Linked DNA regions of Sus scrofa. The protein of the gene in region 6 purifies or fractionates together with the protein of the main gene of each other region. This does not show direct contact. Links are inferred from orthologs where the notes say so. Each region holds a gene or a part of one and is shown on either strand. Other genes may lie near its edges. The genes, in order: STX10, VAMP4, NAPG, SLC7A1, VAMP3, STX12 and VAMP7.

Evidence for each region.
Region 1: the proteins of STX12 (region 6) and STX10 purify together in Homo sapiens (affinity purification with mass spectrometry; 3 studies listed by BioGRID and IntAct, counting the BioPlex papers as one, with this or other methods). This does not show direct contact. The link is inferred for Sus scrofa from reciprocal best matches to the Homo sapiens genes STX12 and STX10.
Region 2: the proteins of STX12 (region 6) and VAMP4 purify together in Homo sapiens (affinity purification with mass spectrometry; 3 studies listed by BioGRID and IntAct, counting the BioPlex papers as one, with this or other methods). This does not show direct contact. The link is inferred for Sus scrofa from reciprocal best matches to the Homo sapiens genes STX12 and VAMP4.
Region 3: the proteins of STX12 (region 6) and NAPG purify together in Homo sapiens (affinity purification with mass spectrometry; 3 studies listed by BioGRID and IntAct, counting the BioPlex papers as one, with this or other methods). This does not show direct contact. The link is inferred for Sus scrofa from reciprocal best matches to the Homo sapiens genes STX12 and NAPG.
Region 4: the proteins of STX12 (region 6) and SLC7A1 purify together in Homo sapiens (co-immunoprecipitation; 3 studies listed by BioGRID and IntAct, counting the BioPlex papers as one, with this or other methods). This does not show direct contact. The link is inferred for Sus scrofa from reciprocal best matches to the Homo sapiens genes STX12 and SLC7A1.
Region 5: the proteins of STX12 (region 6) and VAMP3 purify together in Homo sapiens (affinity purification with mass spectrometry; 3 studies listed by BioGRID and IntAct, counting the BioPlex papers as one, with this or other methods). This does not show direct contact. The link is inferred for Sus scrofa from reciprocal best matches to the Homo sapiens genes STX12 and VAMP3.
Region 7: the proteins of STX12 (region 6) and VAMP7 purify together in Homo sapiens (affinity purification with mass spectrometry; 3 studies listed by BioGRID and IntAct, counting the BioPlex papers as one, with this or other methods). This does not show direct contact. The link is inferred for Sus scrofa from reciprocal best matches to the Homo sapiens genes STX12 and VAMP7.

The regions. Positions count from the first base shown.
Region 1 is NC_010444.4:65,912,853-65,916,931, forward strand, and holds the start of STX10 (syntaxin-10), read left to right. Parts: upstream 1-1,279; 5' UTR 1,280-1,423; coding exon 1,424-1,458; intron 1,459-1,697; coding exon 1,698-1,867; intron 1,868-2,042; coding exon 2,043-2,137; intron 2,138-2,212; coding exon 2,213-2,275; intron 2,276-3,261; coding exon 3,262-3,369; intron 3,370-3,463; coding exon 3,464-3,570; intron 3,571-3,645; coding exon 3,646-3,740; intron 3,741-3,842; coding exon 3,843-3,919; 3' UTR 3,920-4,079. UniProt on the Homo sapiens protein: SNARE involved in vesicular transport from the late endosomes to the trans-Golgi network.
Region 2 is NC_010451.4:114,172,169-114,176,391, forward strand, and holds the start of VAMP4 (vesicle-associated membrane protein 4), read right to left. Parts: upstream 2,801-4,223; 5' UTR 2,645-2,800; intron 2,563-2,644; exon of another isoform or gene 2,474-2,562; intron 2,119-2,473; exon of another isoform or gene 1,890-2,118; intron 1-1,889. UniProt on the Homo sapiens protein: Involved in the pathway that functions to remove an inhibitor (probably synaptotagmin-4) of calcium-triggered exocytosis during the maturation of secretory granules.
Region 3 is NC_010448.4:97,972,175-97,976,403, forward strand, and holds the start of NAPG (gamma-soluble NSF attachment protein), read right to left. Parts: upstream 2,801-4,229; 5' UTR 2,416-2,800; coding exon 2,360-2,415; intron 1,087-2,359; coding exon 1,019-1,086; intron 1-1,018. UniProt on the Homo sapiens protein: Required for vesicular transport between the endoplasmic reticulum and the Golgi apparatus.
Region 4 is NC_010453.5:6,545,655-6,549,154, reverse strand, and holds part of SLC7A1 (high affinity cationic amino acid transporter 1), read left to right. Parts: intron 1-2,245; coding exon 2,246-2,348; intron 2,349-3,500. UniProt on the Homo sapiens protein: High-affinity, low capacity permease involved in the transport of the cationic amino acids (arginine, lysine and ornithine) in non-hepatic tissues.
Region 5 is NC_010448.4:68,472,497-68,476,720, reverse strand, and holds the start of VAMP3 (vesicle-associated membrane protein 3), read right to left. Parts: upstream 2,801-4,224; 5' UTR 2,644-2,800; coding exon 2,642-2,643; intron 302-2,641; coding exon 220-301; intron 1-219. UniProt on the Homo sapiens protein: SNARE involved in vesicular transport from the late endosomes to the trans-Golgi network.
Region 6 is NC_010448.4:84,917,501-84,921,626, reverse strand, and holds the start of STX12 (syntaxin-12), read right to left. Parts: upstream 2,801-4,126; 5' UTR 2,671-2,800; coding exon 2,553-2,670; intron 1-2,552. UniProt on the Homo sapiens protein: SNARE promoting fusion of transport vesicles with target membranes. Together with SNARE STX6, promotes movement of vesicles from endosomes to the cell membrane, and may therefore function in the endocytic recycling pathway.
Region 7 is NC_010461.5:125,862,105-125,866,102, reverse strand, and holds the start of VAMP7 (vesicle-associated membrane protein 7), read right to left. Parts: upstream 2,801-3,998; 5' UTR 2,681-2,800; intron 1,226-2,680; 5' UTR 1,154-1,225; intron 1-1,153. UniProt on the Homo sapiens protein: Involved in the targeting and/or fusion of transport vesicles to their target membrane during transport of proteins from the early endosome to the lysosome. Required for heterotypic fusion of late endosomes with lysosomes and homotypic lysosomal fusion.

The DNA.
Region 1 (4,079 bases), on a different chromosome or scaffold from region 6:
CACAGAGAGGAAGGAGAAAGTTTCGCTTCCTTCCCTCCGGAGACCGGGAAGATGTGACGCCCCTCCAGAAAAGCCCCTGCTGGCGTGTAGGGGCTACCTCACTGTTCACTCTGACGCCGTATCCCAGAGATCTACACAAAGACCTTGCCAACTCAAGCAGCTACTCCCTGAGGACTCTCATTCTGGTCCCCTCCATGGAGATCCTGCCCCTCCCCTTAAAGTGATCCTCCTTTGCACCTCTGGATCACGCTCAGGTCCCCCATCTCCAACTCTGACACATGGGGGGGTCAATTATTCTCTCTTCTAAAAGACTTCTCCCAAAACCGCTCCCATTCAGCGATCCTGCCATATATTACTCGCTGAGAACGTCCTCATCCCCGCTCCCCCACACTCCCAATCCCACGAAACTCCACAACGACATCCCCCGCCCAGGCGCTGTCTCTGACACACAACAGGGGCGACCTTCTGAGGGTTTCTTAAGATAGCCCGCTCCAAGAATCAGGACCCCACTCGGGCAACGGTCCCCCCCACCAATAAAAAAAAAATGCTTTCTCGGAGACCCCACACATAAAGGTTCTGTCGCACAGGCGGCCACCCTGAGTCCCTCTCCAGACATTCCCTGGTCCCACTCCACGCGCAAAGGACTTCATTGCAGGCTATCTTCAGAGTTGCCCCCACCACACTCCCTCCCACGACCCCCAGGTCGCACCCAGAAAGATCCTACCCTCCAGAAGCATTTCCAGGGCCCCCATCCAGGGCCATCCTGCCCCGGGATGCTTCCCTCCTCCGCAGGAAAAAAAGAGGAGGGGTAAATCAAACAGAACTCGTCACAGAATGCCTGCAGTTCACCCTGGCCCCGCGGGAAGGTGGAGAGACCACCCATCCCCATACTGCTCCCCAAACCTGTCACACCTGACCCTGGGCTGGAACCATCTTCCAGGACAGGATCTAGGTGCAGGAGCATCATAAAGATGATCTACTAATTGAAGGAGCCACTTCCCCAGCCATAATCTGACCGGATTTGAAGGAGACTATTGTTATTTATATTGCCCAGAAGGGAAACCATGGTTGCGCAGCAACAATCCGAAGGCCTGGGTCTTCAACCAAGGCGTAGGGAGCTCTGACTCGAACCCAGCCAGACAGAACTGACACATCTGTGGACCAAGATGCGAAGAGGAATAGGTACGGGCAGGAAGCCGTTTCCGCCCACAACCAAGATGGCCGAAGAGAGAGCGGAAATTTCCACACTTCGGGCCTCTAAGGCCTCTCTTTCTCCCCTTGTGGCTCCGCTCTCGTTGGTGGCCTGGGTCACGTGACGGGAGCGGGCGGGTGGGTGACGGCGAGTTCTGCATTGCTTGGAGGGAACCTGCGTCCAAGGCCGAGAGGGGAGGGGGCTCGGCCTCGGGCGGGTGGGAGGCGTGATATGTCTCTCGAAGATCCGTTTTTTGTAGTACGAGGGTGAGTGACAGCGAAGGGGGAGGGCAGAGGGTGTCCTGTCCCCCTGCCAGCCAGTGCCCGGGTGCCAGCCGGAGCGTGCCAGGTATTCTGGGCACCACCGTCGGGATTGCCCCGTGGCCGTGTGGGAGGGGTACACAGGGGGATATGAGGGTCTCGTGAGCCCCCAATTCGTTTGGGTGCGCAGTATGGGCAGGAAGACTGCCTGCCCCCAGCTGTGCCCGCTGTGCCCCTGCCTGCAGCGAGGTGCAGAAGGCGGTGAACACAGCCCGTGGGCTATACCAGCGGTGGTGCGAGCTCTTGCAGGAGGGCGCGGCGGTGGGACGCGAGGAGCTGGACTGGACGACCAATGAGCTGAGGAATGGCTTGCGCAGCATCGAGTGGGACCTCGAGGACCTGGAGGAGACCATCGATATCCTGGGCGGGGGAGGCTGGAGGGCTGCATGGCAGAGCCCATTGCAGTGGCAGGGGGCTCTGGGAGCCAGCCCTTGGGGAGGCTGGACACTTAGGAGATGTCGATTGAGGGCTTTGAGGCAAAGGAGGGTGTTCTGTCCTGGTCTGGCCTTGACTCTTTAATCGAGGCTTACGCATTGTGGAAGCCAACCCAGGCAAGTTCAAGCTCCCAGCCGGAGACCTGCAGGAGAGAAAGGCGTTTGTGGAGAGGATGCGGGAAGCAGTCCAGGTGAAGAGAGTTTGCCGTGGGGGTGACTGTGGGGAGGTAGTGGTGTCTTTATTCAGATGCTGTCCTCATCCGTAGGAAATGAAAGACCATATGGTCAGCCCCGCAGCCATAGCCTTCATGGAGAAGAATAATAGAGAGGTAAGGAGTCCTGACCCAACATCCTTACCCTCTGTCCCTAGAGGTGACCCTCTCCTTGGAATGCAAGCCTGAAGCGTCCATGTGCATTCACCAGTTTCCTGTGTATGTGTATGTCTGTCCCTTCTGCATCACGGCTCATCTTCTCTGTGTGCAGTTGTCTACCTGCCTGCTCTTTCTGGATGTGTACACCTGAGCTCTCTTCTCTGTATATAATCCTTTCTGCCTTCTCCTACCGGTCTATACTGTTTTCCTGTGTGTGAATGGTGGCCTCTCCTTTTTTCACTGTGTTACTGTTTTCAAGATACATGCTTACCTTTTTTTTCTTTTAATCTGTGTTTGTACCTGACCTCTCTGAGCATGTGAACTTGGCCTCCAAGGGGACTCACCATCTGCCTTGTGCATGCACACCATTTCCCTCTGTGGGTGTTTGCCCCGGGTGTGTGTTCACTCATACGTTTTGTGCACATTCTCCCTGCTGTCTCTGTCTGTACACCTTTGCCCATTGTGTTGTGTGTTCTTTCTCTGCATGTTGTGAAACACCAGCCTCACCCTTTAAACCCACATGGGGTGTGGGGCGGGGTGGGGTAGGGGGCTGAAGCCTCAAGAGCCTGGAGTCCTATAGCAGGGTCCACATGCTTTGCAGGTGTGCTGCTGCTCCGAGGATTTAAGTTCAGTTTCTTAAATACATGTGTCTATGTGATAATATATGTTCTCCATGGATTTAATTTATTAAGTCCTCATTGCAGCCTGAGGAAACAGGAATTACAACTCTTCTCATCTTACAGATGAGGAAACTGAGTCACAGGGAAGTCAAGTGATAGGGTCTTGGGGTCACCTTGCTGTAAGTGGTGGCTCTGAGGAACCCACACCATTCCATTCCAGAAACTGCCTTCTTGACTAACCATTGTCTAGATTTGCCACAAATCTTGTCTGTCTCTGCCGTGAGTGGGTGTCGCTCCCTGAGCCTGTGGTCTGGGCCCCCACAGATGTTAACGGGCAAGCCAGCCACCCTGAAATCATCCAGCGACTTGCTGGACGCCAGTGTGGTGTCGGCCACCTCTCGCTACATTGAAGAGCAGCAGGCTACACAGCAGGTTTGTGTGGGTGGCTGGAGGTGCTGGGCTGGAGGAATCTGCAGCAGGCTCAGGGCTCCCCACCTACAGCAGTCCCCACCCCTCCCATCTACAGCTGATCATGGACCAACAGGATCAACAGCTGGAAATGGTGTCTGGGAGCATCCGGGTTCTGAAACACATGTCTGGCCGAGTTGGGGAGGAGCTGGACGAGCAGGGCATGTGAGGCCGTGACCCTGGGGGTGGGCCAGGAGCCCTCAGCCCTTCCAGGGGCTGATGCCCTCCTGATCTCGGCAGTATGCTGGACGCCTTTGCTCATGAGATGGACCACACCCAGTCCCGGATGGATGGCGTCCTCAGGAAGATGGCCAAAGTATCCCACATGACCAGTGGTGAGTCCCCTGGGAGAAGCGATTTGGCAGTGGGATGAGGGGGGGAGTGGGTTGTGGGTAGGACTGCCTCACCTCTGTGAACTCTGACCCTCTTGCCCCCAGACCGCCGACAGTGGTGTGCCATTGTGGTGCTGCTGGGGGTGCTTCTCCTGGTCCTCATCCTGTTCTTCTCTCTCTGATCCTGGTCCTCCCCCAGGGCCTTGGAGCTGGGGGCGCCGGCAGGGCCCTGCCCATCCTGGGGGGAGAGGGTCATGCCTGGGGAGCTGTCTCAAGGCTCTCATCCAGAGCCAATAGGACCTCAGGGCCCTGGCCAGAGCACCCACCTCTGGTCCTGTCTCA
Region 2 (4,223 bases), on a different chromosome or scaffold from region 6:
TGGCATATGGAGGTTCCTTGGCTAGGGGTCTAATCGGAGCTACAGCTGCCGACCTACACCACAGCCACAGCAATGCTAGATCCAAGCCACGTGTGTGACCTACAGCACAGCTCATGGCAATGCTGGATCCTTAACCCACTGAGCAAGGTCAGGGATCTAACCTGCAATCTCATGGTTCCTAGTCGGATTCGTTAACCACTGAGTCACGGTGGGAACCCCTGTTTTGTTTTTATATATGGCCACACCTGCAGCATATGGGATTTCCCCGGCCGGGGATCAAATGTGAGCCACAGCTGCAGTGTATGCCACAGCTACGGCAATGCCGGATCCTTTGACCCACTGTGCTGGGCCAGGGACTGAACCCGCATCTCCACAGTGACCTAAGCTGCTGCAGTCAGGTTCTTGACCCACTGTGCCACAGTGGGAATTCCAACAAAGTCAATTTTTTTGTTTGTTTTGCTATACAAAGTCTCATAGCCTTTTATATGCTAACATGCCCTGTGATTTTTTTTTTTTCAGGAAAATGCTTGAGTATGCAACATATTCAAAATTTTCTTGAGGAAAAGCTGATATATGAAAATATGAGTTTTTAGTATGATGGACTAGAAGATGGATAGATGAGAAAAGCTAAGGTGTACTGAATGTTTTACTATGTGTTAGGCACTGTGTTCAGTGATTAACACATATTTTCTTTTACTCTTTACAACATGCCTGGGAAGTAGACACTAAGAAACCAAGAGAAAACTAAGGCTTAGTAAAAGATAAGCAACTAATAGTGTTAATCGCTCTGTTGATTGAAACAGCAGAAACACAGGACTAAATTAACCAACTGCTGTGTATGATTGGTTTTAATGATCCAATTAGTTATCAGGTTACACACAGTTCTGTTCTGGAAAGACCACTTTCTTTTAACAACCCAGCAGCCCCCTTTTCCTTTCTATAAGAACACCCCTAAGATCTTTAAGTAGACATCAGTTTGTTGGTTAATATTACACACTTAAAAAAGAATAAACATGCCCAGAGTCCAGTTTCATAAACTAAATAAAGTAAAATTTTAAGTTGATTTCCCATCAAAACAAACTGATAAACACTTTGCTTTGGTATGAGACGATTTTCCAAACCAGAAACTTAAATCACCTGTAACAAAAACCAAATACTTGCTACCTAAGTTAATAGCTCTAGAGTTCTTCATTCCACAATATTTCTGTCACGTACATCTGGCATCTGACCCATTTATTCCTCGTACTTTGATTTCAGAATAACTCATTCAAGCAGAAATGTTACAGAATGCATGGAGAAACAGACAAGGGAAGCTACTGAAGCTTTTCTTTTAATTATATCTGTATTTTATTTATATTTTAAATCCTACAAAGGGGCTACTGCCATGTTCAAAAGCAAGTAACAGGCAGACTTACATAACATCTTTATGAAATATACAGTAGAGCTACAAGTTTAGTGATAAGCAAACCCAAAATCAGGTCCCATAATCCAAGGATCAGCCTCAGGAAGGCAAGAAATCACTGACAAACATAAAAGCCATCAGCAAAAGAACAGGCAGACTAACTGCTTGATGAACCACAGAGCAATTGGTATTTGTACCAAACAAGTAGAAGTAAACCATGCTCAGAAATTAGACTTATACATATTCTTTCTACCTAAGATTTCTCCTGCACAAAATACATATGAATTCAGGTGTTTGTGTCTAGGTATAAATGTAAAGAGCGCCTTCATGATGTATCTCAACACTGACTGGAGACACCAACACATTTTTAAAATGTCACATCACCATATGCTTTTTATGTCATCCTACGTTTACAATTTCATGTATGTATTTTTGAAGAGGCAGTACGTTCTGTATTCAATTGCTTTATACGTAATAAACTTCTAACCTGTTGTTTAATAAATGCTGTATTCTTTTTTGCTTTACAAAAACAAGCAAACCACAACTCCCAGTACTTCATTTCACAAAAAGCTTGAATCTGGCAGAGGCTTCCGTTTTCTCAGCCTCGTTCCCTTTCTGACTCCTCTTCCTCATCTCTCATCGACAGCCTGGTTCGTGCAGCTTCATGGAAATAACTGACTTGGTTGGCCAAAGCCTGGAGATATTATTCACAAAACCTGTCAAAGTGTAACATTCACCCCACCTTCCGGTCATTATAAATGTAGCGGAGTTGGCGCTCTCTCTCAAGCCTTTGAATAATGAAACAAATCCGTCTCTCCAGCAAGCAGCACTGTTCACCCCCTATACTCCATCGGTCGCACCAGGCCACGTCCCCCAACATCTGCTCCTACCTCTAGTCCTTTCTGCCCCAAGATACCTGCTCACACTCCGGGCTGACTCCCACTCTTCTGCAATCTTCCCCATCCTCGCCACTGTTCTCTTCCCATCTCCCCAGAGCACCCTACAATTCCTAATCTTCTCCCCCTTAAACCTCTCCCCCCCATTGCACACCCCAGTCCTTGTCATTCTTACTCAGGGCACCCCCGGTCCAACCCCTTTTCCCACTAGGGGTTCCCTCCACTACCCCCGAGGCTGGTCCCCCAGCCTGACGCGGACGTTGGGGGCGGCGGGGCAGGGAAGTCATCTCCGTTTCCTTCCTCCGCACATGAGCCCCTCCCTTCGGGACAAGGCGTGCGGCCGTACCTGAATCTCCCCGGTAGCTCTGAGCAGCTCTCCCGGGCGGGCAGCTCTGGGCGGGCGGGGGAAGGAGTGGGAAGCGGAGGGAGAAAACAGGGAGGGGGATACAGTGGGCGCGGACCCGGCGTCAGCCGCTCCGCCGCAGCTGCGCCCCCGCTCATCGAGTCGATCGGCGCTCCGCGTCCCGGCGCCAGGAGGAGGGGCGGGTCCAGGCCACGGAGATCATCGAGGGAGTCGATTCCGCGTGCAGCTTTCTATCCAGAGGTTTTTGCGGTCTCAGAGTTTACATCTGCATCCGCAGGATGGGCTTGTGCCTTAAGCGAGGAACAGTCGCGGGTTCCTGAGGTCCCAGCCGGGGTCGGGCGTTCAGGAGAGGTAGAGAAAGCTCTGAGAAGTCACCCAGGGGTGGGCGCTGAGGGCTTGATCCTGACTGGGGTTGATGAGGCGTTACTAAGATGGTGTTTTGTTGCTGGCTCCATCCCCTGGGCTAAGGAAGCGGAGCAGAAAAATGAGGATGGCTCAAAGCCCGAGGACCGGCTACAGCCTTTTCTGAAGTAACATCTGTGTGATCCCTTGTTTATAGAATCAGAGTTAGACTTGGAGGGAGATCTTAAGTGACCAGTCCAGTCTCCTTGTTTTAGACATTAGGAATCTCTGGTCCAAAGAGATTGACTTGAGGTTGCACAACTAGTTTGGACAGATCTGGGTCGAGGATTCGGTGTTCTTTCATCTGTTATTGTGGAGTCCTAACCTAAAATAACCGGGTCCAGACACCAGGTAGACACCAGAGCCTTCAGATTTGAGGTGGAAGATGACTCCTGCAGGGCCTTTCCACTGTTCTCTTGACTCCTCCTACCTCCTCTCCACCCAAATTAGTAGCATATTTAAGCCTGCAGTACCAGGGTTCAGTAATACAAAATAATTCTAGTTTTACCTTTGCTTTCCCTTATTTACCCATTCCTCCCACACACGCCCCAGCTGGATTGTTTTATCAATTTATTTCTACCAATTTGCTCCACTTTTTTTTTTTTTTTTTTTTTTTTTTACTAAATATGGCTCCTTTAATACAGTGTTTTTTGATTTAGTGTAATTTAAGCCAAACAAACACTAATTGAAATATACCTTAGGTAGGGTAATGACTCTCAGGTTAATGATGTAGAGAGTTGATTTTTTTTTTTTGGTTGGCGGGGCATGCGAAAGTTCCTGGGTCAGTGACTTGAGCCTCAGCAGTGACAATGCTGGATCTGTAACCCACTGAGCCATTGGGGAACTCCAAACTGAATCACCTGGAAAGCTTTAACAATGAGTGCCCATGCCTTTCTCTGAGATTCTAATTCAATTGGCCTGGGATGTTGAGAAACGGTGAGCCATAGGTTGTCAACCAAAGCTTCTGAAAGTCTGGTATTAGACTATCTGTGAGTCCACTACTCAGATCCAGGCTGACTTGGACTGAAATTGTCCACCTGGAAGGGAAGTTACTTCTACTATGTTTTTCTGCCTGGACATGAAGGTCAGACTACTGATACATAGATGACCCAGAAGTTTTTTATTTTTCGTTTGCCTTCTACGGTTGATTTTGTATCTG
Region 3 (4,229 bases), about 13 Mb from region 6:
ATGCTGTTATTGCTGATTAGTGTCATCTTACCTGATTTCTTTTTTCTTGGTGACATACTAACACTAAATGCGAGGCTAACAAATGTGATCAAGGCTACTGCTGAAACACAGTAAAATGTGTTCAGGGTGTTTCAAAACTGTATTATGCTTTATACCCAAATAATCACGGATATGCTGAAAGCTATCTCCCATAACTTAAAATGCTAAGTTTTTAATAATTCTCTTTTGGTTGCAAATTCCAGATCATTTTTATCTTACATGCATATAAACATATTAATATATGCCTATAATGTAACACTTCATAAACATTCATCGGTGCACCTCCGTGGAAGGGTCAAAAAGAACAAGAGCCAAGCCACGGCATGCAGCTCTACTGAGAATGAGGCTAAGATGTTTTAAAAAGTCAATGAGAAAAATCTTCAGGGAGTTCCCTTTGTGGCTCGGCAGTTAACACACCCGACTAGGATCCAGGAGGATGCAGGTTCGATCCCTGGCCTTGCTCAGTGGGTTAAGGATCCAGCATTGCCATGAGCTGTGATGTAGGCTGCAGACGTGGCTCAGATCCAACATTGCTGTGGCTGTGGCATAGGCTGGCAGATGTAGCTCCGACTCAACCCCTATGCTGTGGGTGAGGCAGAAGGAAGGAAGGACAGAAGGAAGGAAAAGAGAAATAGAAAAAATCTTTCAAAATAACAGGTAGCAGAAGAACATGACAAAACTCTCAGAGATAGTATGAACTGAATGAAGTTCAAGAACATATAAAGGATGCTAAAAGCGCAGCTGCATCCCCTGCTCCCATCCTGCCATCCCAGGAGAGGCAGAGGCCACTGAATCTGCAGCTCACACTCAAGACATCTGAAAACAAGTGGACAAGTGCAAGGATTCAGGCAGTTTCGTTTTGTCTTTTAAACAATTAAAATGCTACAGGATGCGTTAGGAGGAAGAATTATACCGAGATGAAGTGAGCAGCCCATGTCAAGATTACACACCACAAGGACTGGGCTACAGTCACTCATACCTGCTTTTCCATATTCAGAAGCAGCACTGTCATAATCTGGCTTCCATTTTAAAAAACCAGTTTTCAGGCTAAAAGGAAAAGAAGACACAATTAACACAAGTTACCAACCATGTTCGTTCATAAGTAAGAACCCTGCTTGTAAGCACCTTATAGGTCATTAAAGGGGGCAGGGGACCATGGGCCAATCACATTCCTAAGAACCTTGCTTGTAAAGGCTCTGATGGGCTCATTAAAAAGGGGGGGAGGGGACCATCCCTACAAAGTCACCATCTCACTCAGCTCCATTGAAACTTACTGATAATCACATACAACCTCACTACCTTCCCCTCCCATTGTCACAGACACAGTTGTCCCCCTTTTGAAATGTCTGTCCAAGTAGAGTGGAGGGTCTTCCTGCACGGTCCCCAGACTAGCAGGAGCAGCACCACCTGGCAGCGTACAAGAAAGTGTAAGTCACTGAGCGAGCCCCAGCTCTACCGAACCAGACACTCTGGAATAGCGGCGGCAATCCAGGGTGTAAAAAGCCCTGAGAAGTATTAAAGCTTGAGAAGGGCTGAAGCACATAAGTAAGCAGTGGGACCTGTGAGACTGCAGCACAGGAGAGGCCAGAGAATGACCGAGGAGTCATCAGCAGATGCCACACCAAGGGCCCCATAAGTTTCTCTAGGAAGACTGCAGAGAAAAGCCAGGAAGACTGCAGAGAAAGGCCAGAAAGACTACAGAAAAGACACTCAGGGAGACAGAGGGAGTCAGCAAGAAAGACTCCAATGAGCCACCAGGGGACAGGAAGGACCACCTGAAAGACGAGGACGACTGGAAGACAGAAGCTGCTTTCCAGGATTCCAGGATTACTTGGCATCTCAAACGCCACACCAAAGTACAATCCGATTGAATCCTTATCTAACCTGCCCTTTCTGCAATACTTTAATTTCAGAATAATTTCAGGCTTACAGTTTAGTGACTGTCAAGCTTAGGTGTGCTTACAAATTGCCCAATGAACATCATCTTTAATTCTAAACTTCAGTTAGTGACGACCTGCTTACGACTCTGCCAGCTTCCAAGGGACCAGGGGACACCTTAACTGAGGAAAAAGAGGGGCTACCGGCCTAGGTGGGGGGAGCCCCCAGACTGCCGGGCTCCGGGGTACCAAAGAGCCCCCACTGCCCCCATCACCCGAGCCGCGACAACTTCCGGGTCGACGGTAGCGCTTCCGGGCCAGCGCCCACCCCCCCAAGCCCCGCTCGCCCGCCCCTGCGCCCCCCGCGCGATGCTAACTCGGACAGCTCTCGGAGGGGCCCGGCCCCGGCGTCCGGCCTGGGCCGCGCTGGGCCTCTCACTCACTATTTCTCTGCTTTGGCGAGGTGCTCCAGTCCCTCGTTTATCTTCTGCGCCGCCATCTCCGCGGTGCGGCCCTGACGTGGAGGCCGAGAGCCCGCCGAGTGGGCGTGGGAACGCCGAGGAGGAGGCCGGGACGGCGCCGCTGCCGCTCCACCGGGGCCTGCAGGGCTCAAACCAAGTGCGGCGAAGCGGCCCGGGAGCCGCGCAGGAAACGCCGCGCAGGCGCAGAGCGCCCGAGCTGGCCGCTAGCTTGTCTCCATGCGCAGCAGTGGTGGGTAGTGAGGGAGGTTCTCTCATTCATTCGTTCGTCAAGCACCGGTTTGTCGAACACCTACTATGCGTCAGACACTGTCCTAGTGCCGGCAGGTCGCCAGGGAGAACGAGAGACCGAGTCCGGCCCTCGTGGATCTCGCTTCCCGCTCCCTTGAAAGCGCATTGGCACTGCGATCCGTGACCGCATAGACTCGTTTATTTTTTACTACATGTGCGCCCCTACCGCCTGTCGGTCACCGTCAGGTAACCCCTGACAGATGCTCAGAAGTGAGCACTCCGTGACGTTCGGGAGCGAGGTTCGCCAGCAAGGGTCTGGCAGAAATAACAGTAACTCCGTGTCCGACTCACATTTCGTGGGGTTTCAACACCTGCAAGGTGATTCTGCGATAGCATTGCAGCTCCTTGGTCTCCACCCAACTAGCTCATACTCTCATCCCCAGGATCACACCCTCGACCTTACCAGTCATGGGTAACTAATTACTAGTGACTGTGCCCCCGACGCATCACTTTCAAGCAGACACTTTATTTCTTGCTGTCTTCTAGCTCTGATAATTTTTCACCTTCAGCAGAACTCCCACCTCTTCCTGGCCTCTGCTCCTGTTCACACCTCCCTGTTTACCCATTATAAGCTCCATGTTCCATCATTGTAACTACTCTTCTGCGTGTGCATCAGCCTCCCTGGCCCTCTTCCTTTCTCCTTGTATGGAAAAGCCCCTGTTCTCTACGGACTGGAACTGCTCTGAGCAATTGAAAGTGGTTGGAGAAAAACAAAGCAGCAACATGCTAACGTGACCCGTCCCTGGAATCTGTGCTCATACATGTCAAGGAGGCCCTGGTGCAGCTAAGTTCCTGAACTGCATTTCACTGGACCAGTCATCCAAGGGCGAAATCTCTTCCTGGACCATCTTGGGCCCTCTAGGTGTGACTCTGTAAACTAGACTGGGCAAGATGGAGGAACAGGGGGAAAAGCACACATTTATTTAACAGAGGTTTTGTGCGACACGAGAGCCTTTATAAGGAAATGAAGACCCGCAAAAGTGGTTACTCCTGTGTTTTTATGCTTGCTGTGCTAAAGGCTGGAAAGTCCTGGGAAAACACGATGGGACAAGGGCAGGAGCCCAGCACAGTGACCTGTGGAAACTAGCAAGGCCTTTGTTCTCACCACCTTCAGCACCTCTGTCTTCAGAGTGTTCCTGTCCTCCAGGTACAGGTAGCTCATCTCTCACATAGGGTATATGGGGTTCGGGAAACGCTGTCCCCAAATACGGCACCTTGGCACATGGAACCCAGCAGAAAATCCACAGTCTAACTGGTCCTTCAGTCATAATTTCTTTATTAAGGCTCCCACATCACCTAAAACTTCTGTTCAGTGAATCTGTAGTCTTTCCTCCTATTAATCTGTCTGTCACTTTCATGTTCAGACCCAGCCAGGGGCCTAAGAGGGTTGAGGAGAACTTTTTCCTCCCTTACAGGGTCTCATGGGAGAAGGGAGGAATCAAACCTGCCTGCACCTGCTCTTTCTCAGGTTCCCCCAGCTGAACCCCTTCAGTATGCCAAGGAGCCGTACTTTGGGGTAGTGCGTTCTGAATCCCACTGGGAC
Region 4 (3,500 bases), on a different chromosome or scaffold from region 6:
CCAGGGGACGTGGCTGGTGAGGCCAGTTGCCCTGAGTTTATAAACAGTGGCAGACCCGGGACGGGGGCTTACCTTTTTTTCTGTTGGGCCACACCCGTGGCATAGGTAGGTTCCCAGGCCAGGGATCAAATCCAAGCCACAGCTGTGGCAACGCTGGATCCTTAACCCATTGTGCCACCAGGGAGCTCCTGGGGGAAGCTTATCTGATCGTGTCCAAGAAGACCTTCTGACCGAGGAGCGCAATGGACTGGAGAGATTGCAGCGAGGCCCCGGGCGCCCTGGAGGGAGACAGCTCTTTGTCTCCTGTTTCCTCCTTGAATTGTGTTTCGTGGCCCCGGGAGCAGGGGTGTCCCAGGCCCCAGGTGGAGGCTCAGAGGTGCAGGGTCTGTGCTCCTAGTCGGTGTGGTGCTGGCTCTGGTTCCTGGTTGGTTCGGGGCCAAAGAGCTGGTTCCTCCCTGTGAGAGTAGAACAGCCGGTCTTTGTACCTGGTCTGGCCTCGGCTGTGCCCCTTGGGCTCATCAGGTCGCCGGAGGTAAGGCGTTGGGCTGTCTCGGGGAGTGAGTGGTTGGCAGTGTTCGTGCCCTTGGCAGAGGGCACCGTGGTCCGTGCATTATTACATCCCGAAAGGAAGCTAGTTTTTCTCTGTCGTGTGACTGACTCTGCGTTCTTGGGCCTGATGGCAGGGGTCAGGTTCAGGAACCTCGTATGCCAGGATATCACCAGCGTGGCTAAGGATTAAGGAACCGGAAATGGTGTTTTTTCAGTATTTACATTTAATTTGACCTTAATCTCCTTCCCGCACTGATTAAGGGGCTCTAACCTTTAAAGGGACGGCAAAGTACTGGTGTCGCCAAACCGAGGATTTTACTCCTTTTCATTTGGCAGGAGGGGTAGATAAGCCTTGAGTTTTCTGAAGTCACCTCACACCGAAGAAGCCGGGCTCACGTTTCTCTGAGGGGGAGCGTGGGCATCTGCGGCTCACGCAGCGGGACCCCCCTCTGATGCCCCAAAGCCTCACGGCTCTTTGACTCTCTTGTTTAGGCTCAGTTGGCGTTTGGTTTAGTTGCAGTGGTCTGCATGGGCTCAACCAATACCTGTGGGAAGTAATGATTTGTTGTTATGTTTCAACTTGTACTGATTGCATGTGATTTGAAAACACCCCAATTTTAGCCAAGTTGTTGTTATTTGCTTTTTAGGGCTGCACCCGCGGCATGTGGAGGTTCCCAGGCTAGGGGTGGAATCGCAGCTGTAGCTGCCGGCCTACACCACAGCCACAGCAACTCGGGATCTGAGCTGCATCTACAACCTGCACCACAGCTCATGGCAATGCCAGATCCCTAACCCACTGAGTGAGGCCAGGAATCGAACCCAAATCCTCACAGATCCTAGTCGGGCTTGTTAACCACTAGGCCACGAAGGGAACTCCTAGCCAAGTTGTTTTTAAATGGGAAACTTGACACATTCCCCACATAAATAGACATGCATATTCTCATAAAAGTAACAAAGGGTTTTCAAATAAGCAGACATGTCTTGTTTTGTTGTAAGCGGGGTCGTGGTGAATGGGCTGGTCTTGCTTGGGAATAACGCTGCTCTCCATGCCCGACTTCTGGGTTAGGAGCCCCTGAGAGTCCTCCTGGAGCCCCGGGCTTGCCCTCAGCCTCCTCATCCCTCTGCCTGGTGATGCAGTGTGTCAGGGGATGTGCCTGTCTGTTCAATGGCACATACCTACCACGTAGCGACTGGCATGCTTTCATGAGTGCCATTGGCTGGCAGATGGATGATGGGTGGATGGACGAACATGTTTCTGGGTCAGCACAGTGTTGAGGAGACCATGCTGGGCTCAGAGCCGTGAGCACCTAGCTCAGATCCTGGCTTTTCCGCTTCTTAGCGGTGTGACCTTAGGTAAGTCCCCCAGCGTGTCTGGACTTCTCTTTCTCCACCTGTAGTGCAGGGAGAGCTCGCAAAATTGCCACAAGGGTCAAAAAGGGTCCTGTCGATGAAAAGCACTCTCACCAGTTAGTATAAACGTTGGTAATTGTTAGCATCTGTCGATCACTGTGTATGTGGTTTGGTCCTGAGCCTGCCTTTCCTTGAAGCCAGCCCCAGTGTTTTCACAGAAAGGGTGGCGGGTGGGGGAGCAGAGGCTCGCCCCTTGCGTGCCCTGGGTGGCGGGGGTGGCGGCGCTTCTGGTGCTGGCGGTCAGCGTGTGGCCGTGGGTCCTGACGGACGTCTCTTCCCTCCCCAGCTGTCATGGCCTTCCTCTTTGACCTGAAGGACTTGGTGGACCTCATGTCCATTGGCACGCTCCTGGCGTACTCGTTGGTGGCCGCCTGTGTGTTGGTCTTACGGTACGTATGGCCGGTCTGGGTTCCAGGACAGATGTGCAGCTGCCCCGTGCTAGCCTTGCTCATAGCAGTTCGTGTTAAACCATCGAGGGTTATACAGTGCACAGCTCGGTCGTTGGCAGCTCCTTTGGGAACTGCCTGGAAGACGCTGGGGCCGGGAGGTTGAAAGCCTGGGTACAGAGAAGGTGCTTGAAGAGGGTTAGGGCGGCCCCACCTCCCTCTCTCCCTCTCCCTCTCTCTCCCTCTCTCTCTCTCTCTCTCCCTCCCTCTCCCTCTCTCTCTCCCTCCCTCTCTCTCTCTCATGGGCCCTGAGTTTTCTGGCTGATGGTGGGTACAGACAGGTTGTCAGCCCTACTGCTGGGCCAGGTTTCTTGGGTCAGTGCCTTCGAAGGCTCAGGCTAATGATTTCCATTTGGTCCAGGTTCTTGGGACAGGAGGGACCTGGGGACGAGCCGTGGTGGGAATTGGGAGAAGCCAGAAACGTGGCTCCCTGTGATGCTTGCGTGTGTCCCGTTCCTGCCCCCGGAGGGACAAGCTCTGTTCCAGGGCCTGGAGCAGCCGGGGCTGAGGTCCAGGAAGACGCTCGGGTTCCGGCTTTCAGCCGTGCATGAACCAGGCCAGCCCCGTGGAGGCTGTAAGAAAGCAGCTCCGGGCCCAGGCTTGGTGTCCTGGGCTTCTCGCTGCCGCAGTGTCCCCTTTAAACTAAGCACATCTCCGGTTTTCTTTTGCTCCGGGAGACAGGGCCCTGCTTCCTCACACCCAGGAACGTCCCCAGGCTGCGTGCGTCCTGAGAACGTGCGCTCGTGGGGCTGCTCGGTGTTGGGCCCCTGGCCAGAGCGCCCTACTTCCTTTTCAGGAATGTATGCTTCACGGCCTCGGAATCCGTCCCCAGTGCGCTCCGCGGCTAGGGTATCTGGGTTGAGCGTCAGCAGTGGCTGTGGAGAATCCGCTGAAACTAGTCTGCTGGTTTCTGACCACTTTTTCCATCCTGAGAGCTCAATGCTAGAATCTTCTCTGAGTCCCCCACCCCACTCCTTTTCCTTTTTTTGTCTTTTGCCTTTGGTCTTTCCAGGGCCTCACCCGCGGCACATGGAGGTTCCCAGGCTAGGGGACCAGTCAGAGCTGTAGCCTCCAGCCTATGCCACAGCCACAGCA
Region 5 (4,224 bases), about 16 Mb from region 6:
TGTGTGATTCAGCGGCAGGAAAACAAGCTTGAAACCAGGAGAGCGTGACTTCTCAGGAGCTTAGATAAGGGTTTTCAAAACCAGGGGCACTTTTTTGTTACACTTGTGAGAGTCGAAATTTACTTTACATTTACACTTTTATGATACTTTTTCTAAACAGAATTATTTCCAAAGCCTTCCCATCTTGGCTTAAAATGCAACAACATTGGAAAGCAATACCTCGTCCACTTGATTTTGTGTCTGCTGAAGTCTTCTGTTGCTGCCAGCGGCAGCGCTGGAACCTGCAGGCGCACCTGTCGACCTGAGGTAAAGGCACAAGCATGGGTAAATGAGGATTCCAAACACACTTCTCCAAGTGTGAAGGTGCACTCCAGGACACTCAGTGTTGGGAATTTCAGCACTAAAGCGGAAAAAGGAAATCCTTCCTGCAGTAATGAACAAAGGTTCTAATGCCATTTCTTCTAGTTTCTCTATAATTTCAGAGATTCACCCACATGTTAAAAGTGATCAAGGTCTGAAATGAGATTTAACAGGATCTACTTTGTATCACAAAAGCACCTGATCCTAAGATAAGTAAACTCTATTTTCCCTATTTTTTTGCCTTTTTTTAGGGCTGCGCCCTGCAGCTTATGGAGGTTCCCAGGCTAGTGGTGGAATCGGAGCCACAGCTGCCGGACTACACCACAGCCACTGCAACTGGGGATCCGAGCTGCGTCTGCAACCTACACCACAGCTTGTGCCAACGTGGGATCTTTAACCCACTGAGCGAGGCCAGGGATTGAACCCACATCCTCATGGATCCTAGTCAAGTTCATTAACCGCTGAGCCCCGAAGGGAACTCCTATTTTCCCATTTTTTATGACTTGTTTGAAGGTATAAGTCTACTTAAATGCACTCAGCAATCTTCTGATCTTTTCGCTGTGGCAAAGAATTGTATAAACAATCATAAAATGCCCTTTTCCAGTATGAGGAAATAGATTCACTTAGAGAAACAGAGTTGGGAAGACCCAGATGCCGAGTAGAAGGCACTGGGAGTGGAAAAGGTAAGACGAAGCCACGCTTCTTCTTCGCTAAATAGGTACTTTTTTTTTTTTTTTGTATGTTTGCCTTTTAGGGCCACACCCGCAGCACATGGAGGTTTCCAGGCTAGGGGTCCAATCGAAGCTACAGCTGCCAGCCTACACCACAGCCACAGCAACTCGGAATTTGAGCCTCGTCTTCGACCTACACCACAGCTCGTGGCAACGCCAGATCCTTAACCCACGGAGTGAAGCCAGGGATCGAACCCGTGTCTTCATGGATGCTATTTGGGTTAGCTAAGTGCTGAGCCACAACAGGAACTCCAAAAAGGTGCCTCTTTTAAACCCTCATTGAAAGCTTTATTTTTCCCCAGGCAGACCTTTCACGACCACGCAGGCTAGGAAGTCCTAATTGCTTCCATTACTTGGTTGGCAATGCTTTGATTTTTCATGTATTAATAGAGTCTTGCCCTCTCTAACAGATCACCGACTCCTGTGTCTTACACGTCTCTTCCAGTATCCCAGACAGCACCTAGAGCACTTATCTTGCATATAACAGCCACTGATTCATTGATTCAACAGTTATTTCATATCTATCATGTGTCAAAGACCAATGATAAAGGAGATCCCACCCTTGCCCTCAGAGAGTTTATTGTCTGAGAGATAACAGCAAAGGGCCATGTGTTGGTGCATCTTCTCATTTAATCCCCAAAACTCTTTGAGGGAACACTATTGTTAACCTCATTTTATAGATGAATAGCTTTAGAAAGTTGACACCACTGGCTGCAGTGGCGCCTGTGTTTAGATTAGGTTCTGCATAATTCTACAGATCTGGACTTCACACACCGAGAGCCGGCACGGCAGCTTCAAGGAGGTACATACACTCCGGAGTGGTGTCTCTTGCTCCGTTAGGAACCCTAGGAAAGCACCCATTCCTTTCTCCTCTGGGGTGAGCACTGAGCAGGCTGGAGTGGGGACAGGGGCTCCCTGTGATTTTTGACACTTAAGAGTTCCCTGGATGTTACCACCGGAAACTCCCCGCTTTCAAGGGTCACAACAAGAATGCTTCGGCTTAAAAAAAAAAGAGAGAAGGCCTACGGCTATGCGCCCGAGTCCACTCTGACCCACTCTGACCGCAAGTGCCTCAAGACAGGGCTGAAGGCCCCTCCCTTGCAACTTCCGGAGCCCAACCCAACCCGATAGCGAGCAGGTCTCCAGGACGAGGGCAGTGGCCACAGCTCCCCTCAGTCAACTTGGAACGGGAAGGAGGAGAAAATGGGACGGGGAGGGGCGGAGGGAGGGGAGGAGAAAATGGGACGGGGAAGGGCTTTCCCCTCCGCTGGGAAACACCGGCCGCCCCGCCCTCGCCCCTTCCGCGGCCGCGCGACCGCCGCAGGGCCCTCCGGGGCGGCAGGCAACGCCCAGGGCCGACCCGGCCCGTCTGCAGCTCGTATCCCCGGGGCCGCCCGCCGCCCACCCCCAGGCCTCGGGAGCCCCCGCGAAGCCTCGGCCCGCGTCCGAGACGCTGCAGAAGGGAGCCAGGCCGAGCCGGGCCGGGGTCCCAGCCACTGGCCGCCGCCCCCAGGGCCCGAGGTCGCTCCGTGTCGCCTTGTGTCACTCACATTTCGGCGGCGGCGACAGCGGGCGAGAATCGACGAAGAGGCGCAGCGGGACCTGAGGCGGGGAACCTGGGCGGGGCCAGGCGCAGGCGGCGGTGGCGGCGGCGCGGGGCCGATGACGTCAAAGGGAGGGGCTGACGGGGTGGACGGGGCGTGCGCGGCGGCGAGGGGCGCGCCGGAAGGGGCGGGGCGCCTCGGGGGCGGGCCCGGAGGGCGGTTCCGCTCCCTCCCCCCACGGCCGGCCGCCCTGACCCTGGGGGCCCGGAGCCTTAGTCCCGGGAAAGGGACTGTGTGGGTGGTCGGGGGTGGGGGCGCTTTACGTTATTCTGGGCCCGTGGGTCATTCCTGTGGCCGTGACGGTATCAGTGACAGCCCATGGGCTTCTGCTTAACGTTGCGTCTTACCCAGTGATGCTAGAGACACCGCATTTCCCCAGGAAACTTTTAAAATAAGACCTGAAGCTCCTTCAGGGTATTCGTCAGAGGCATTGATTGGGCCTAGGGTCCCTCTCTTCGTGTAGTCATTTGTGACACAAATATTTGTCATTGCACAGAGCTTATTATAACCCGTTTACAGGAGCCTTCACATCAGTAACTGGGCTTTGTATGGTTCTGTATTTCTGGACCCCCCCAGTAGGGAGTAGGTCCCCAGCTTTTGATTTGGGTTGAGGCCCAGGCACCAATTCAGTGAGTTACTCTGCAAGGTATTAAATTGCTCCTGACATTATTCCTACCACCACAGGCAACTCCTACACTAAACAAACACCACAGAACACCGGGAGGTCAACCGGCAGATTCGATGAGAAATGAAAAAATAAACACCAAACTGTCTGTTGCAACCCTAAATGGGATAATTGGAAAAAGAAATATTGATGTATATTAAAATAAACAGGAGAGTTCACTATATAAAAAAATTAGGAAATACAGTAGAAAATTGACAGAACACTGTAAACTAGGCTATAATGAAAAAATTTTAAATCACTACATGAACAAATAAAAATAGACAAGAAAGCAAGACAGAGGAGGTGAGATTTGAGTTGGATCAAGTGGCAAAAAGGAGAGTTTCCAGGCATGGGAGGAACAACCTTTCATAGACAAAGAAACTCAAGATGGACCTGGTTTGAACAGACCGAGGAGGTGCGGGTGGTGGTGGGACTGGTGCAGGTTAGGGCACAGGTGAAAATAAGATTGAATAAAAGGTAAAGACTAACAAGCAAGGAGAATGGCATGTAAACACAGTGGGCTCTCGAAACCGTTGAAGTCTCATGGATTGCGGCAGATCTGTCACCCAGAACTTGTCCAGCAGTAGCCCCGGGATGGATCAGAAGGAAGAGGGTCCACCAGGGAGACAGGAAGGTCTGTGGTGAAAGGGAATGAGATGAGCGACCAAATGCTCAGAAAGGAAGGCTTTAAAAAAACTGCAGAGGGTTTTAACTGGAAAGGTGAATTTGGATCCGTGTCTTCAACTTTCTGCACGTAGACAAGTGATTGATGTGTTGAGAGGTGCTGGAGAAGACAGTTGGCAAGCAAGTATTCTAGGAATAGTGGCTCTGAGAAATTTCTTCTTTCCTGAGCAGATCTGAAGCT
Region 6 (4,126 bases):
ATTGTTTCACGGGGTTGTTACAAAATTAGGTAAAATAATGCATGTAAAGCACTTTTTTTTTTTTCTTTTTATGGCCACACCTGCAGCATATGGAAGTTCCTGGGCCAGGGGTTGAACTAAGGCTGCAGCTGCAACCTATACCACAACCACGGCAACACTGGATCTGAGCTGCACGTAGGACCTAGACCACAGTTTGCAACAACACCAGATCGTTAGCCCACTGAGCCAGGCCAGGGATTGAACCTGAATCCTCACAGTGATGATATCAGGTCCTTAACCTGCTGAGCCACAGCAGAAACTCCTATAAAGCTTATATTACCTGGCATACAGTATGTACTCAAATGTCAGTTATTAATGTTATTAATAGTTGAATTCAATTATCCACTTGAGCCTGATGCCCACTTTTCTTGAGGCCCGCACCTGCAGCATATGGAAGATCCTGGGCTAAGGGCTGAACTGGAGCTACAGCTGCAGGCCTACACAACAGCCATAACACTACCAGATCCAAGCTACGTCTGTGACCTACACCAGAGTTCATGGCAACACCAGATCATTAACCCACTGAGCAAGGCCAGGGATCAAACGCACATCATCATGGATACTAGTTCGTTAACCACAGAGCCACAATGGGAACTCCCCTCATGCCTGCTTAATCAACAGATAAACTTTATCAATTCTATCACCAAAGATACCTCTCCTATCCTTTCCTTCCTTCTTTGCATTTTCAGTTCCTACCTGGTGTCCATGATTCCAGTCGCTCCCTTCCAACTCAATGTACATGTTTCTAAAGAATTAAATCCAAGCCCCCTTAGTTTAGCACTTACAGTCCTCCATGTTTGGGCCTCGACTTACCTTTCCAATCCTATTTTCCACTACTTTCTGGAATTCACCATTCTAGCCAAATTAAATCACTCTACTTTTCTATACACACCACACGCTTTCCCACTACTGCACCTTGTTCATTTTATTCTCTTCTTTAACTGCCAAAAGTTCAAATCCTTCCCACCATCTTTCCAAACCTAGCTCAAATGCCCAAACACCTCCCCCGGCCCCTCCCAAATGAAAAAGGTGTCTCTCTCCTGAATATCTATAATTTTATTACACTTCTTCTATAGTACTGATCTCTTTCAACTTTTTATTTTGGTTGTTATGTATGCCACGGATTCCCTGTTAAAAGAACCCATGCCAGTTCCTATACATACTACATGCCTGATACTCAAACAGAAGTAGAATGAACATTTCACAGATAGACATTAAAATGAGATTTGGCCTCAACAAGAAACTTTCAGCCCTGAACGAGAATTTTCTGATCTAATCTGGGCTACGGCTCCCTCACAAAAGGAAATTGGAACACAAAGTACTATACTTTCTAACCAGTGGTCATATTAATTTTTGTTTGAAATTTCTGCAGTTAATAGACCACATATTCTTCTTTCCACTTTCCAAGCATCCAGGCTCAAACGCTTTCCATCAGAAACTTTCCCTAGCTCAAAATTCTACATTATACATTTAAATTTAAAGCAAAGTGATAGATAGAACATAACTGTAATTCAGGGCCAGCTAGTTCTACTTATTAACAGAGGACAACCAAGCTCACAAAAACACAATAAAAAACAAGGATGATGATGATACCATTCTTTCCAAATAGTCGCTGCTGACCTCTTGTTTACAAGGTTCTGAGCTGATTTTCAGGCACAAGAAATAGCTTGTATTTGACTCATTCAACTGCAGTCTCATTCAGACCCTAATGTTGGATGGTGTGTAGTTTTAAGACAAGCAATGACATTCTGAAATCCACCACCAACTCTGCCATGTCTTACTTGCTAGCTGATGGAGACTAAGTCCCTTTGCCTGTCTCATGTTAGTTCAAAAGAGTAACTAAATGGGGAAGGAAAACAAAACCCTCATTGGCTTGAAATCCAAAAATATATGCATATCTTTTGCTACAAAGACAACGTAAGTTGAAATGTTTTCGGTGAAATCTCTTTATTAAAGCAGAATCTCACCCCTTAAAGTCATTGTGTCTGATTTCAAAATCCATTACAGAAAGAACTGGGTTAAAATCACCAAAACATATGCACTCTCCACTTCCCTTAATTGAAAGCTGCTGACGTCCAAGAAGCCAGAAGCTGAGCAGAAAGTAAAGTCTAAACCAGTAAACAACTCCAGACCCAGACCAAAGAGGAAAGAGAGGTGGGTGGAGGGAGGCAGATGACAGGAAAAACTCGGCTGACCACTGCACCACGTCGACTCACTTAGTACTCTGGAGAGGACACATATACACCCTCCCACCCCGGAGTTGTCAGGACTGTAGTCCTGGCCCCAACACCTTTAGGGCAAAACTCTTGAGAAGAAACTCGAGCTTCAGCTGGGGCTAGGGACTCTCAGGGAGCCTGGGCCTGGCAGACTCGAGGATGGCAGCCCGCCGCACCCAGAGCGGAGGGCCCGAGACGGCCTCGGCTGTGGCCTTGGCCGGGCTCCGCGTCCCGGTAGTCTCACCCAGGCCTGTCCCCAGGATGGTCCCCGCCCCCCAGCCCGGTACCCCGGCTCACTGGCTTGGCTGATCCGCTGGATGTTGCCACTGCACGTCTGGATGATGCTGTTGAAGTCCCGGAGCGGGGGCCCCGAGGCCCCCGGGTTCCGGTACATGTCTAGGGGACCGTAGGACATGACGAGGAGCCGAGACCGACTTGCCCTGCACCGCGCTCCTACCGGAAGCAGCCGCCAGACCCGACCCGCAGGCTGACAGGGAAACCGGGAAGAGAAAGGGCTGGGAAGGGGATGAAGCTGCGTGCGCACTAGCCCCGCCCCCTCGCGGCGCGCACGCGTCCGTCCCCGACCCGACCGGCCCCACAATGCGCAGGCGCTGTTGGAACTGGTGCCGAGATGGGTAGCTTGGAGACCTGACGCTCTGGGGCTTGGGGATGCAGGGCGGAGCGATGACATCATACCTTTGGGGCTCGGATTGGAGGATCTGGGGTGGCGGTGTTGTTTATCGCCAGGGCACGGTGACAAGAAGGCAAGAATTTTTCGATTAGCATAAAATTGTACCAGATGATCTCAGCCCTAACGTCCTATTCTGTTCTATTCTGAGACTTCAGGCCCAAATATGGGAGAATTTGATAACCTTGAAGCTCAGATGCGTAACCAAACTCCTGAAATCCCTCACTCTGCTTCCAGCCTCAAAGGCTTTGGTAGGATTTGTGGAGAACTTTTATGGTTTACAAATCGCTCTCATTCTACCACCCCTCTTGTAGTCTCGTAGTCTAAACAATAAAACGATAATAATAATGGTAAGATTTATTGAGCACATATTATGTGTGACCCCTCACTGCAATTCAGTTGTTCTCTCTCTCTTTTTTTTTTTTTTTTTTTTTGCCTTTTTTGCATTTTGAGTGAATGACCTCAATGTTCCCATAAAAGACTGCATTTTGTAAGCGTATGATAAATGGAAATACAGGGGTAGGATTTTGCTTTGGGAGGAGATCAAGATAGACGTGAAGGCGAACTGGCAGTGTTTGTTTCCTGTGTTCTCCACCGCACCTCACACCAAGTCTGCTTTACTATCTCTGGGAAATAGCCAAGGCAGGAAGCTGCTTGCCTGAGTTGGGGGGGACACCCCAAATGGGTGAATGAGCCTGCATTCAGCCTTAGAACTTTTGTAAGCAAGGCTATCTCTATTTTCTGTTAGAGCATTTGTAACAGAGGTTTTTTGTTTTGTTTTGTTTTGTTTTTTTCTTTTTAGAAAAGGACAGATGACATTTGACATTTAGGGGCTCTCATTCTGGTTATTAAAACCCTACCATTTCTTAGAATCCATAGTTTTATGTCATATAGCAAATCATGTAAATTTTACTTTTTTACCTATAAAATCTTCTTGAGAATGTTTTCATTAACATTTGACTCTATTTAAAGTGAAGTTTGGAGTTTCCGTGTGGCTCAGTGGTTAACGAATCCGACTAGGAACCATGAGGTTGCAGGTTCGATCCCTGGCCCCACTCAGTGGGTTAAGGATCTGGTGCTGCCGTGAGCTGTGGCGTAGGTCACAGGGTCTGCTCAGATCCTGCGTTGCTGTGGCTATGGCCGGCAGCTACAGCTCCAATTAGACCCCTAGGCTGGAAACCTC
Region 7 (3,998 bases), on a different chromosome or scaffold from region 6:
TTCTGTATTTTTATAATATTAAGATGTATATGAATATCCTGGATTATCTACATGTATATCATATAAGTGAGTGATGGCACACAATTCAGTGCTGCATTTACATCACGAAGGCATAGGTGCCAAGAAATTCTCTAAAATAACAGTACTTAATTTTTAATGTATTGGAAGCATGTGTGGGTGCTCCTAGGTTGGCACATCCCAAAGTCATAATGCAATCATGACTCAAGCACTCTTGTACGCCTGTTGTGTTTTTCAGTCAGTTAAAAAGACAAAATTTATCTTCTGCAGTAATAATTTACAACTGAAAGATATCTGCATGGAAAAAAAAAACCTTTTAAAAACTGAAACTTGTATCTAACATTCTTCCACACTGAAAATGACAATAATACTCAAAGGTGTTTGCACCAAGTAGAAACCAAATGAGACCAAATGTGCTGTATGAATAAAGGTTGTGCAACTGTTCAAACAGAAAAAAGAAATGGAAGAATTAACTCTTCATATGCGTAATGGTAATAGCCAATGCAAAATTTAAAAAAAAGCATTCTGTATCATTTGTATTATTGCAAGGAGATGTACTACGTTAAAGCCTTGCAACAGTTCATTAGCAGAATATTTCATAGGAAATACATTATGGAAATTAAATTTTTTCACCCTTGTATCATGGGGCATATTATTAAATCAGCCCATTAAACTAAAAGCAGGGGGCATGGAAAGTCTCAGGGAAAAGATGTGAACTCATTTTAGGAGAGAGCCATAGGACAAGAGAAGGCATAAAAGTGAGAACATGCTAGAGAAAATAAATAAACTAGCCTGATGAGATGGAATGGTCTGCATTTGGCAAATGTAGATGTTTAGGGATAAGTCTAATGGCCATAAGTGAAAAGAAAGGCTTCTATGAGTTAGGTAATTTAGATTTGCTCAAACAGGTTTCCTATTTCAGTTCAACATGTTTTCTAAGGGTTTACTTTATGACACCCAATATAGTAGACACTGGAAGTACTAAAGACCAGTTAAGGTCTATCATCTACAGAGCCATAGTACAATATGGAAGACAGACATAAGCAAATAAATGCAATAAATCTTAAGAGTGAATGATTTAAGAAGGTACACAACTGTTTAGAAGATTTTTTTAAAGGTTTTATGATTATCTTACCTTGGGTGAAGACAAGAAAGAATGTAGGTGTCCGTCTATGTATTGGGAATTTCCTCAGTATATAATTATTTCCTTTTGGAAAAGAGGTCAAAGTGTCTACTTTATCCTTACTAGGTTCCTAGTGTCCAGCACAGTGCCTGGCATATAATATTCCCTCAAATATTTAATAAATTTAAAAACACTGAGAATGTTTTGGTTTTAAATATATTATAAATGATAGATAATTTCATAATCAGTAGGACCTGGCAAGAATAATATTTTGATTACCAAACTATCTTCCTAAGTAATATAGAGCAGTGGAGCTGAGAGAGTAATCCAATCCTCAACTCTTGTTAGGGAAGAAATAAGCCAGTAACTGAAAAACCACCAATTCTGATGTAATAACCTTGGAGGAGACAGAATAACAGAGAACAAACAATATGAGAGAGAAAAAGAAGAGGTGTTTATAATAAGCCTAAAGTCTGGTCACAAATCAACATTATTCTTGTTGGTATTACAAATATTCTTTTTGTTGTGATGTTATGAGACCCAACCCAATCCTTCCGACTTTCTCAGGATAGGAGACTACCCTGTCAAACAAAAAACCTGTTCTATTTTGCCTTAAGCAACACCATCATATACTATCATCTTGAGTCTTCCTGTTTGCGCCCCCCGACACACACAGCCAAGTAAGCCACCGAGCGTAGCTATCTCCTATGTCGTTTCCAGGTATATCCCTTGCACTTAAAAGAGTGTCCAACACATATTAGCTGCTCAATAAATGTTTGTTAAACATATGAGTGGGTCTTCTCTAAGTCACAGCTATTCAAAGGGAAAGTATGTCCCAAATATGACAGTATCCTCTGGGATCAAGGGTAGGACAATGGAGGTACAGGTAGTTGAGAACAATTAATAAGACAGAAAGAAAAGGACTTGATAACTGATTGTGAAAGTTGCGAAGGAGGAAGGTGTAAAGCATTTACTAAAGAGCCTAGTACATGGTCAGTTTGTTAAATATTTGTCAATAGTAATAACGAGAACATCATGCGGATCTGAAGCTGAGGAAATAGGTCTGGGCAGAGATACAGAGTTTACAATATGAACTGAGGAAGAAGAAGAATGTCAACAAGGGGCCTTGGAGGAAGGGCACACAGAAAACTAGAAACCCACGAAGGAGCCCAGAAGTAGGAGGTAAAGCAGAAAGTGACGTCATCGAAACAAGGGCGTAGAGAGGAGTTTTTTGAGGACTTAAGAAATCTCAAGATATTCCAATGCTACAGAGAGGTCTTGCAGAATACAAACTGAGGGAAAGTTAAATTTTCTGTAACAACTTAGGTGACGCACTCTGACTCTTTAACTCGAGGCCTTTTCAACAGCATAGAACGCACTTCATCAAAACTGGAGCTGCCCGACAATTCTAACTGTCGACACCAGAGAAGCCCTAGTCACCCTTGCATTGCCTCCCAATTCCACCTTCCCACAGATACCTCTTCCCTCCCTCTGCCGTCGTCTCCCCGCCTTCCGCCCAGCCCTCCCTGCTGCTTTTACCTGTCCGGGCCCTTTGGGAGAACTCGAGGATTAGGACAGAGTTGCCCGGCTCAACAACTGGGAGCAGACCACCCGCTCCCAGAAGAAGATAGACCAGACGCCGCCGGCTTCCGCATAGAGCGCCCCGCCCGCGCTCGGCCTCCTGGGAATGCGAACGCCCCTCCAATGGGAACGAGAGGCGGGCGGGGCCTGCTGCGTTCCCAGCCCCCCGCACTTCCCGGAGCCGCACTGCATTCCGGGAGTGGTAGTTTCCTCTGGCTTATCCCCGGAATCTGTCACTCGGTCCATCAACAACTCTTGTCACAAACAACATCAAGCGCTAGTCCCTCGAGTAAGAGAGAGGACGCAGGGCCACAGAGAGTCCACTGGCACTGAGTCTGCAGAATAGATGAAGAGCCGAGCTTTCCCTGCCATCTCCTTGCTGAGTCTCAGCAGGTAAGGTAGCCCGTTACTTCACAGAGGAGATAAATTCATCTGACAGGAACTCCCTCTACTCTCGCCATGAAATTTTTTAACCTCCTTGGATTCCCTCAGCAATCCTTTTTCCCAGTCTTTTGCAATAATCATGATAATGAAAATAATAACTTCTTTTATGTAAGCTCCCCTGTCCCGTTTACATCCCTATTTCTTACCAACCTAAGTCTAGCTCCTGAAATAAATTCGTCCGTTTTATGACTCAACAGCTCCCTGATGACTTGCTCTTTATTTTCAACATTTAAAGATTGTCAAAGTTTCTCTCATCTAAAACATTCCAAAGTCAGTTTTCTCAACCCCAATCCTCCCTCACCACACACAGACTTAACCTCTCCTTTCCAGCCAAAATTCTAGACCCTCTTGGGATAGAACATGATGGAAGATAATGTGAGAAAAAGAATGTATATATGACTGGATCACTTTCCTGTACAGCATAAATTGGCACAACATTGTAAATCAACTATACTTTAATAAAATGTAATTTTCCTAAGGCATAATCTTTGATCCTATTGAACATAGAGAATGGACATACATATATAGACAACTTGCAGAATAATAAATATTGAATGATAAATATGTGTATGTATAAAATGTAAATCTCAAGATAATCAAATGCAATTAAGTACTGAGATTCAAAAAAATTCTCAACCATGTTGTTAAAATAAAGACAATTTTCAACTATTACCATACTTCAACTTTGCAGGATCTTACATTTACAGGCGCTATACAAACTGTTCTGCTCTAATATGTACAGCATATTCCATACCTTATTTACTAGTATTAGCTCTAGGTGGGCTATAGACTAACTGAAGTACATTCACAAAATCATGACTAAAATGATCTG